Xenopus tropicalis: one gene and its partners. The protein of the gene in region 3 binds, or shares a complex with, the protein of the main gene of each other region. Links are inferred from orthologs where the notes say so. Each region holds a gene or a part of one and is shown on either strand. Other genes may lie near its edges.

What was found. Proteins that work in one complex are often made in the same cells at the same time.
Region 1: cep290 (region 3) and tmem216 share a complex: the UniProt entries of both Homo sapiens proteins name them as parts of the tectonic-like complex. The link is inferred for Xenopus tropicalis from reciprocal best matches to the Homo sapiens genes CEP290 and TMEM216.
Region 2: cep290 (region 3) and b9d2 share a complex: the UniProt entries of both Homo sapiens proteins name them as parts of the tectonic-like complex. The link is inferred for Xenopus tropicalis from reciprocal best matches to the Homo sapiens genes CEP290 and B9D2.

The regions. Positions count from the first base shown.
Region 1 is NC_030678.2:178,905,690-178,910,025, reverse strand, and holds the start of tmem216 (transmembrane protein 216), read right to left. Parts: upstream 2,813-4,336; 5' UTR 2,737-2,812; coding exon 2,724-2,736; intron 1,235-2,723; coding exon 1,218-1,234; intron 1-1,217. UniProt on the Homo sapiens protein: Part of the tectonic-like complex which is required for tissue-specific ciliogenesis and may regulate ciliary membrane composition.
Region 2 is NC_030684.2:79,325,644-79,329,812, forward strand, and holds the start of b9d2 (B9 domain-containing protein 2), read right to left. Parts: upstream 2,813-4,169; 5' UTR 2,742-2,812; coding exon 2,696-2,741; intron 1,927-2,695; coding exon 1,837-1,926; intron 1,117-1,836; coding exon 991-1,116; intron 815-990; coding exon 498-814; 3' UTR 1-497. UniProt on the Homo sapiens protein: Component of the tectonic-like complex, a complex localized at the transition zone of primary cilia and acting as a barrier that prevents diffusion of transmembrane proteins between the cilia and plasma membranes.
Region 3 is NC_030679.2:54,320,511-54,323,395, reverse strand, and holds the end of cep290 (centrosomal protein of 290 kDa), read left to right. Parts: intron 1-685; coding exon 686-789; intron 790-1,593; coding exon 1,594-1,776; 3' UTR 1,777-2,338; downstream 2,339-2,885. UniProt on the Homo sapiens protein: Involved in early and late steps in cilia formation. Its association with CCP110 is required for inhibition of primary cilia formation by CCP110.

The sequences.
Region 1 (4,336 bases), on a different chromosome or scaffold from region 3:
CCGAGTAATGTAATCCCACTCTGAGTATCACTCATGTATTATAGGGATACTGTACCCCCTACTGTAAATGATAAGGATATTAGCAGTCACTGAGGGGTTCTGTGCCCCCCATATAAAGGCACAAGGCTGCAGGCTGAGTTATACAGGGAACTCTGAGTATCACTCATGTATTATAAGGGATACTGTACCCCCTACTGTAAATGATAAGGATATTAGCAGTCACTGAGGGGTTCTGTGCCCCCCATATAAAGGCACAAGGCTGCAGGCTGAGTTATACAGGGAACTCTGAGTATCACTCATGTATTATAGGGATACTGTACCCCCTACTGTAAATGATAAGGATATTAGCAGTCACTGAGGGGTTCTGTGCCCCCCATATAAAGGCACAAGGCTGCAGGCTGAGTTATACAGGGAACTCTGAGTATCACTCATGTATTATAAGGGATAATGTACCCCCTACTGTAAATGATAAGGATATTAGCAGTCACTGAGGGGTTCTGTGCCCCCCATATAAAGGCACAAGGCTGCAGGCTGAGTTATACAGGGAACTCTGAGTATCACTCATGTATTATAAGGGATAATGTACCCCCTACTGTAAATGATAAGGATATTAGCAGTCACTGAGGGGTTCTGTGCCCCCCATATAAAGGCACAAGGCTGCAGGCTGAGTTATACAGGGAACTCTGAGTATCACTCATGTATTATAAGGGATAATGTACCCCCTACTGTAAATGATAAGGATATTAGCAGTCACTGAGGGGTTCTGTGCCCATATAAAGGCACAAGGCTGCAGGCTGAGTTATACAGGGAACTCTGAGTATCACTCATGTATTATAAGGGATAATGTACCCCCTACTGTAAATGATAAGGATATTAGCAGTCACTGAGGGGTTCTGTGCCCCCCATATAAAGGCACAAGGCTGCAGGCTGAGTTATACAGGGAACTCTGAGTATCACTCATGTATTATAAGGGATAATGTACCCCCTACTGTAAATGATAAGGATATTAGCAGTCACTGAGGGGTTCTGTGCCCCCCATATAAAGGCACAAGGCTGCAGGCTGAGTTATACAGGGAACTCTGAGTATCACTCATGTATTATAAGGGGTAATGTACCCCCATGAATTGTTAAAGGAATATAAGAAGCAGTGGGCGGGGCCAGGCTATACCTGTACAGGTGACTTGGTACCGTCTCACCTATGTAAGTGCCAAGGATACAACTCCGCGCCTTCTCCCTGGGAAGCAAACGCACAGTTAGGGGGCAGCACAAGTCACATGATACCAAGCAGAAGACCCAGTGGGGGCCGGGGGCCCCTCCCAGCACTCAGAGCAGCCATGTTTGGTCTCCCCCTGTAGGTGCCCATAATATACCCACATACCTGCCCGTAATATACCCACCCGCCTGCCCGTAATATATCCACCCGCCTGCCCGTAATATACCCACCCGCCTGCCCGTAATATTCCCACCCGCCTGCCCGTAATATACCCACCTGCCTGCCCGTAATATACCCACCTGCCCGTAATATACCCACCTGCCTGCCCATAATATACCCACCCGCCTGCCCGTAATATTCCCACCCGCCTGCCCGTAATATACCCACCCGCCTGCCCATAATATACCCACCCGCCTGCCCGTAATATTCCCACCCGCCTGCCCGTAATATACCCACCCGCCTGCCCATAATATACCCACATACCTGCCCGTAATATACCCACCCGCCTGCCCGTAATATACCCACCCGCCTGCCCGTAATATACCCACCCGCCTGCCCTCAATATACCCACCCGCCTGCCCGTAATATACCCACCGCTGCCCGTAATATTCCCACCCCCTGCCCGTAATATTACCCACCCGCCTGCCCGTAATATACCCACCCGCCTGCCCGTAATATACCCCAACCCGCCTGCCCGTAATATACCCACATACCTGCCCGTAATATACCCACCCGCCTGCCCGTAATATACCCACCCGCCTGCCCGTAATATACCCACCTGCCTGCCCGTAATATACCCACATACCTGCCCGTAATATACCCACCCGCCTGCCCGTAATATACCCACCCGCCTGCCCGTAATATACCCACATACCTGCCCGTAATATACCAACCCGCCTGCCCGTAATATACCCACCCGCCTGCCCGTAATATACCCACCCGCCTGCCGTAATATACCCACATACCTGCCCGTAATATACCCACCCGCCTGCCCGTAATATTCCCACCCGCCTGCCCGTAATATACCCACCCGCCTGCCCGTAATATACCCACCCGCCTGCCCGTAATATACCCACATACCTGCCCGTAATATACCCACCCGCCTGCCCGTAATATACCCACCTGCCCATAATATACCCACCTGCCCATAATATACCCACTTACCTGCCCATAATATACCCACCTGCCCATAATATACCCACCTGCCCGGGGAATGTGCGCTATTGTGGGTAACAGGGAGAAGTCGCTGCTTCTCTGGGGATGCCGGGAATTGTGGTCTAACAGCCCCCCCCCCCCCCCCCCAGTTGTAGTTGCACACTAGCGGTGCGGGTCCCTATGCAGCAGGTAAGGGGACAGCGTAGCGGCATCGGGTGCAGGGGATGCTGGGAGTTGTAGTCCCGCTGATCAGCTGCACCTCTTGCATAGGGGACACAGTAGCCCCACGCTTACAGGCGCCATTACAGGGAGCAGGGGGGCCGCTCTTCCATCCGCTGCTTCGCCTCCCGCTTACCTTTGGGCGCCATCTTGCTGCTCTAAGGACGCCTGTGACGTCACTCCCTGGAAACCTCCGCAACACGTGACCCCCTGAGCCGCCTGTGCGCCGCGGGGTCCTAGCGCCTTCCCCCCTAACATTCAGGGCCACTAAATAACTGGGACTGGCTGGGCTTCTGGGAACTGTTCAATGGAGAGTGTACCTGCAGCCAAATTAGATTGCTAGCTCCTCTGCCCAGGGAGACAGTAGGGCAAGATGGAGACAGTAGGGCAAGATGGGGACAGTAGGGCAAGATGGGGACAGTAGGGCAAGATGGGGACAGTAGGGCAAGATGGAGACAGTAGGGCAAGATGGGGACAGTAGGGCAAGATGGGGACAGTAGGGCAAGATGGGGACAGTAGGGCAAGATGGAGACAGTAGGGCAAGATGGGGACAGTAGGGCAAGATGGAGACAGTAGGGCAAGATGGAGACAGTAGGGCAAGATGGAGACAGTAGGGCAAGATGGAGACAACCCTTTATAACACTGAAGAGGTTATTCCAAACACAAGAGGCAGTATGAGCACTAATGACTGCACGGGGGGCAGTAGAGGAGCGAGGGTGGGAGAGTTGGGGGCCGATGCTGCTGTCTCTCAGTAGTGATGCGCAGTCGTTATTAATTGGGGCTGAGATGCGAGACCCTCGCTTCAAGAGCCGGATGTTCCCACCCACGGTTTCCTCGTCTCACTGCTACTCACCTAATTATGTTACTCACAGTTACTTCATTATAGAACCCATAGCCCAATAAAGGGTCAACTTCCCCTTTATATTTACTTTTAGTAACACATGGGCGGAGTTACAGGTCACTGATCCCCACCGTGATCCCCACCCTTTTCCCACCCTGTTTCCTTCTTGATCCCCACCTTGATCCCCACCCTGATCCCCACCCTTTTCCCACCCTGATCCCACCATTTTCCCACCCTGATCCCCACCCTTTTCCCACCCTGTTTCCTTCTTGATCCCCACCTTGATCCTCACCCTGATCCCACCCTTTTCCCACCCTGATCCCCACCTTGATCCCACCCTGATCCCACCCTTTTTCCACCCTGATCCCACCATTTTCCCACCCTGATCCCCACCCTTTTCCCACCCTGTTTCCTTCTTGATCCCCACCTTGATCCCCACCTTGATCCCACCCTGATCCCACCCTTTTTCCACCCTGATCCCCACCCTTTTCCCACCCTGATCCCCACCCTTTTCCCACCCTGATCCCCACCCTTTTCCCACCCTGTTTCCTTCTTGATCCCCACCTTGATCCCCACCCTGATCCCACCCTTTTCCCACCCTGATCCCCACCCTTTTCCCACCCTGTTTCCTTCTTGATCCCCACCCTGATCCCCACCCTGATCCCCACCCTTTTCCCACCCTGTTTCCTTCTTGATCCCCACCTTGATCCCCACCCTGATCCCACCCTTTTCCCACCCTGATCCCCACCCTTTTCCCACCCTGTTTCCTTCTTAATCCCCACCCTGATCCCCACCTTGATCCCACCCTTTTCCCACCTTGATCCCCACCTTGATCCCCACCCTGATCCCACCCTGATCCCCACCCTGATCCCCACCCTGATCCCCACCCTGATCCCACCCTGATCCCC
Region 2 (4,169 bases), on a different chromosome or scaffold from region 3:
ATTCACATTATAACTGATTTAAGATAATCGTCAAAAGAGCCTGAAAAGTATTTAAAAACAAAAACATTCAATTTACTTTATATATAAATGTATTCTGGTAAGTGATTGATGTGAATGAGGTATTATGAAAATGAAAGGAGAGAAAGGGAGTGTGCTTTATAACAGGGCTGAAAACAAAGCAAGGATAGTAAAAAAGTGATACAATGAGGAAAATGGCTAATATCAGAAGTAACAGACAATTTGGGAAAGTGTAAGAGATGTTAGTAGAAGGGGAGGAGGATAAATGTTACCAGATTATGGTACAGAAGAGATATGAAGTATCAGGTTTATTAAGAAGGGTTGAGAAAAGGGGCTCATTAAATACTGAGCAGGATTCTGTTTGAGGTGTTCACAAGTAATTCCATAAAATGTCTTGCTGATTATTTCAGTGCATATGTCCTTGGCACCAAAAATAATCATTTGGAAAACCAGGAACAAGTTCTTAGCACTCTGCAAAATCAAGAACACTCCACCCCGTATCGTTCAAAGTTCCTGAGTATGACCGTTAATTGGAGATGTACTTGCCCCATGGCCACTGTTTGCAGACGGTAGCGATCAGACCCTCCATAAATCAGGCTGGATGACTTAAGTTGTGGGCCGCCGCCAACAAACATCTGACATATTTGCTCCTGCCATGTTCCCAGGGGTCGCCAGGTTGGGCTAAGCAATGAGTGAGTACCAGGGGTGGAAGGGATGTGGAGGAAGCTGTAACCATAAAGTTCATTACGACCAAATGTGTCCTGATGCCAGACTTGAAGGTGAAGTTTTGGCCAACCTAAGTGGGGGAAATACAAGCATTTAAAGTACATAATGTACTTTGCACCTTTGGTAGGTAAAGTGTGTTCATTTGAATGGGTAGGGTTAGGGTTGGGAGCCTGTGCAGGGGCTCCAATGTGATTACAATAATTTTAACAGATTCTTTATTTTATTCTTTATTCTATCATACTTTACCTTGTAATCCTTTAGTAGCAAAGTGCATGTCAATAGGGTGAGACCAGAATGCCATGTCATCATTTTGTGGATGATCTACTTGTGTCTGGCCTTCCACAACCCCAGAAAGTAGCTTCCAGGCTCCACCTAAATGTTATGGTAGGGAACGATGTTATTACAAATAGAAATATCATATGGTTAATAATAGATAGAGCCACACCAGTATCTTATATATCAAGATTTTCTCAAAACATTAACATTTCCTTTAAGACTCTTTTATATTGTTTATGTAAAGTAAAGCCAAAAATGGGCTTTAAGTTATACAAACACAGCCTTCTCCTTCACTTCACATTACTAGAATAAATACAGGGGTCACCTGACGCATATATTTCTTCTTCACATCACAAACTTAAAAATATATTACAGGTATAGGACCCATTATTCAGAATGCTCGGGACCAAGGGTAATTTGGATCTCCATAGCTTAAATCTACTAAAGAATCAATAAAACATTAATTAAACCCTATGGGATTGTTTTGCATCCAATAAGGATTATTTATATCTTAGTTGGGATCAATTACAAGGTATTGTTTTATTACTACAGCGAAAAAGGAAATCTGTTTTAAAATTCTGAATTATTTGATTAAAATGGAGTCTATGGGAGACGGGCATTCCATAATTCAGAACTTTCTGGATAACGGGTTTCCGTATAAGGAATCCCATACCTGTACTAGAATAAAAGTGGGGCCAACTGAATGCATATACCACATTTTCAACAGCGTACAGCTCCACAAAAAAACAAAACTGTGTTTTTTTTATGTACAATTGATATATAGATCCATTTAAAATGCAAAATGATGACTCTTACCTGTGTGTACTCCCCATTTGCAAAACAGGCTGTGTTGGGGGAAGCCACTAGCCCCAATAATTTGCCCTATGATGTGAACCTCTGCCATTACTGTAGGAGGAAAGGTAAAATATATTTCAGTTACATCATTATTGTGAAGAAACTAAATTATAATTTTTATTAGAAGTAGGTCCAACAAACAATAACAGCTAGAAATTACACTTCTTATACCATCTGACGCCAATATAAATATACAAGCCTCAGTGACCAAGTTTTCCTTTTTTTCTTGGCTGTGTGTGCAAAAACTTTCTTTTGTGCCTACTTCCTAAACCTATTTGAGCACTTTTATAAAAACTATGCGCAAGTCTAAAAAAATTCTAAATTATGCCTTTACATACAAAATTCTTTTTGCGCACCACAATTTATTACAGTAAAACTTTATTTTTCATCCCTTACTTAGGTTTTTTTATTTTGTGGTCCCTCCAAAATATAATGATTAATACATTTCAAGGATATGACATCCCCCATTATTTTCTAGTGGCCTCAATAATGTAAAAGGGCGGTTCTAATGCATGTGCCCTGACATCGTAATTTAAATATCCACAAATGCATAGCTTAGAAGGAACATTAGTATTACATATACATTTTATTTATTACCTACTTTTAGCGCAGTGTTATTACTACGTATATTATTAGTATATGTAGCTAACCCCCAGCAATAAGCCCTGTAAGACGTGGCATGTCATAACCAAACTGTTCATTACACATCCAATAAAACCAATTTGAAAGCATAATTTTATTTGTCATTACCGCATAGTGTATTACATATGTAACTAACCAGGTCAATGACCAACATCAAGCAAAAAAAACCTACTTATACCTGCACAAGTTGGGCTGTAATGTAATTCATGAGTGTGGCTATTCATGTACAGTGAATTTCATAACTACATAGAACACTGACAGTGAAGGCACTATAGAATCAACAAATAGAATCCCTAAACTGAGGGCCCTACAGCTTACACTTACAGAATCAGCCAAGAGCCTCTGTTTGTCAACTATCAGCTGCTGGAAAACGTAATACCCCCATTACACTCCCTACACTGGCGCCATTGTGTGTGCTATGAGCATATAAATTACTGACGATACATATTTGGATGATGGTGCAAAATCATCAGGACTCCATACCGACAACCTGCGAATCATATCTACCTTTGCGTATATAACACCGCAGTAGGGTAAGATGTAAGCGCTTTACCAGTTTATTAGCTCTAAATATTTTTCGCCCTCTTTTACATCCCGCTATAAATGCTTCCCCTAACCGCACAACTGCAACATAAATCTCACCGGACCCCCTCTGAAAACCGGCTCCTTGTCTTAGCTTTTTGCCCCTTCTAATTCTCACTTTGGTAGACTCCGCCTGTTGCTGTGCAACCGTTGCATACAGCAGATCTGATTGGTTCACCGGCGGAAGTGACGTCTGTTGTAGGCGAAATGTGTAAACTGATCGAGACTGATAGTCTGTGGGAGACGAAGTATTGGGATTAAACGATAGCTATTAATACTGCAATCTGTGATTTATAATACAACATAGTGTAATGGAACGTTGCTTAAACAGATATAGGGCGTCGTGTCGTGTCGGGTTCTGAGGCATTACGTATACAAGAGACATATTAGCGTCCATTTAAAGTTCAGCAAGTTAGTGGCTGAGGGGGGTGTAATGAGAATTAGCATGGCCATGCTGAAAATGCGTTTGTCTGCTCCCACTTTGTAGTCACACCCCCAAATGTAAAGCCTTTAAACCAAAAAGAACCCAGCTTTTAAAATGCTGGAAACTTTGAATGGCAGCGTCAGACGAAACGCATTCACTTTTATGACAGACATAGTGGCCAAAATATTTAATTACATTTTAAAAGAAGTAGGGAGATACTTGGATACATGAACGCAGAAGAATTTATTTAGGATATCCCTATCTGAAAAGGTGTCGTTGATCCAATTCATGCAAGAAATACATTAGTATTTTTGTTATAAAAGATTGCTAAAGCTGCTTTACTGCAAGACAAGCTGGTAATGAGCCAATTTTTGCGGAACATATGCTGTTATTTTAGTGTCTTTAAAAGATCCTGTCTGTTGCTTCACAAGATAACTGTTTGCCCCATTTTACCCCTTTCTCATTGAGTGATTTATTCTGCATGCTCAGTATGCATTTCTTATCAGATCTCTCCATTTGTCTCTGCCCATTTCCTTGTAAAAGAGCATTCTTTTGAGAGAGTGCACTGTTACTGACAGGTACAGATAGAGACCAAAAGAAAGATAGGGTACTTGAATACATTGCAGTTCACAATACTATTAGTTTG
Region 3 (2,885 bases):
TTTCACGAGTGAACCTAATCCTTATCTATAGTAAAATACCTATAGTAATACTGTATTTGTGAAATGTAATACATTTGATATATATTTTTTAATTAAATTTTTGTTATTGAGCTGATAAATGTGAGAGGCCAGCGCCATGGAATACTATTTGAATAGACTGTAAGAACAAAAGCACTCTGTGTGTATATCCAGTTGCCTATGCTCCTCTGGATTGGAAGTCGGCCTAGAAAACACCCGCTTTTGCGTTTTTCAGGCTGAAATGCTATCCATTCCGCTCTGTGTGCCCGCACTTGGGCAGTTGCCATAGTTTTTAATGCAGGCAGAGGACTATAGGCAAGCAAATCTGCTTCTCTTAGCCTGACTGAAAAATGCAGGGCTGAGAAAAGGGGGATATACACACCGTATGCCCTCGCCCTAAGAATAGGTAAAACTGTCTATTTCCTGGTTCCTGGCCACATCCTCTCTAACCACAGTGCTGGTTGCCTATGCTCCGAAAAGAAGCATGGTTATACATCATTAACATGTGCATTAAGGGGTTAAAACTTTGTTGTTATATTTAATTCTTTTACCTGCCACCAAAAGGGTTAAGCATTTCAATGACATTGCTGTCATATGTTGTATGCCATTGGAACACAATTTGGATATTATGTGTATGATCTTTTTTATTTATTTTTTTTTTGGGTAGACTACAACTCTCTAATGGACAGCAAACATGACAAACTCATGGAGGAAATCATTCTTTTGCAAACACATATCAAAACATCTGATTTAGAGAAACAACAATTAAGAGTAAGTAAATTAAATGTACCATTTTAAAAAATATCCAGATCTTATACAAGTATTTTACACAACATACTGAAGCTGCTCATGTGCCAGCAGCCATTAGCTGCAAACTCAGCCCCTCTTGATCGATTCTTGCATCTTATTGGCCCATGTATGAGGTCAGTCTGAAGGCCTGACTGGCTGTTATCTGGCCAAGAATTGCCCAGATATCTATTGGGCAGATTTGAAAATTGTCATCTGCATTTAGGTAAAGATCTGCTTGTTTGGCAACCTTACCAAACAAGCAGATTTAGTCTAAGCTTAATTGTGTTGTGCCCTGCATAACAAAAGTCTGTTTTTCCCCAACTAGTTGTAGTGTTTAATTAATTAGGCTGCTTAACCCTTTCCCAAAGTGTCATCAGTGCTAGAAACTTAGGAAGGCTATCACGCAGTTCATGCTGTGTTGCTTATCTTGTCCCTGCTCTACAGCATTGGTGGAAACTGTTCCCAGATAGCAATTGTAATTCATTATCCCCCAAGCCAAAGTCAAGTGCTGGTAGTTATTGATTAAATCCTGCTCAGTTCTTATTTTACCTTACTTTTTTTTTTTTTGTTAAAATAGAAACCAAATAAGATGAAAGTCTTGCCTATTTCTTTCTTCATAGCATATGGTTGGAGTAAAGAACATATTTAGCTAACTCACTGCCATTCTTATATTCCTATTTGTTTGCATTTCCTAATGCTATTTCACCTTAGGCTAAAAAATAAAAGTGAGAATTTATTATAAATATGGTAAATATAATAAACTCAAAAGTATTTTCTATTTTACAGGAGGAGATAAAAAACTTGAAAAAAGAGCTACAGAACTTTGACCCTACATTTTTTGAAGAGATAGAAGACTTAAAGTATAACTATAATGAAGAAGTTAAGAAGAATATTATTCTAGAAGAGAAGTTAAAAGCACTTTCTGAGCAGTTTGGGGTTCATATTGATTTTCCAGGAGTTAATGAATAGGATAAACCAATTTTACTTGGTTGTGTTACACAAGACAGTGCTATTTATATACAGTGTGCTATTTAAAGCAGACTACTGGGACTACCCATTACTGCATAACTTGTTTTTGCTTGTAAGTATATATCATTTTCCCCTACTAATGAGGGTACCTACAAAGTATATTGTATTCCAAAATGACATTTCTAGGTCCGTATATTTTCAGACGTTTAAGCACATTGAATAAACTATTAGTAGATAATTCTGAAAAAAATAGCAATTACTTTTTATAGAAGCATTTGGAAAAAAAGCTTTGCACTTGAAGAGGATCTAAAGTAAAAAAAAAATTGAGCGCTCAGAAAAGAAATCGGAGAATTTTTCTTTTATTTACTTTAGACCCTCTAATTTTTTTAAACTGAAATCAAACACATTGCCTTCCAAATTTCAGTTAACTAGTTATTTATGTAAATATGTGTAGATGTATAGAAAAAGGTTTATTTAAGGTCAAATGTTCTGTATTTAGTCTTTTGTGGATGTATTTTTTTTTATAGTTTTTGACTTAAATAAACAGTTATTGAGACTGAAACTGTGTGCTTGAAATCAGTCTCCTTCTATGTGTGCAAATAATGTCTTTTTATTGTTTTTCACAGCTGATTAAATCCAGAATGTATGTTAGATCACATGCTGGTACATGGGTGCTTCTAGAGGCAGGTTAATGCTGCAGCATGGATTAAACCAAGTGCTGGCTATTTGTAAAGGAGATCTTCAAATCCAAATTTTTCATAAGGTAAAAAGGCAATTCTAAATAAAATACATAAGGTTTCAGTAGCTTTAAAGTACAGCCATGAAATCTATGAACATTTAATACACCCAATAGCATTGTTTTGCCTTCAGTTAGGATTCATTATATCTTAGTTGGGATCAAGTAAAAGGTACAGTTTTATTATTACAGAAAAAGAGGAAATCATATGGGAAAGGGCCTTTGCAGAGATTTTTGGATAAAATGTTTCCAGATAATGGATCCCAGACTTGTAGTATGAGGCCAACTCTTCAGCTTACTTTCTGTATAGAAAAATAACGATACAGCAGTAAATCAAACCTTATAAGATGTGTTTTCTCTCCCCTGTATACAG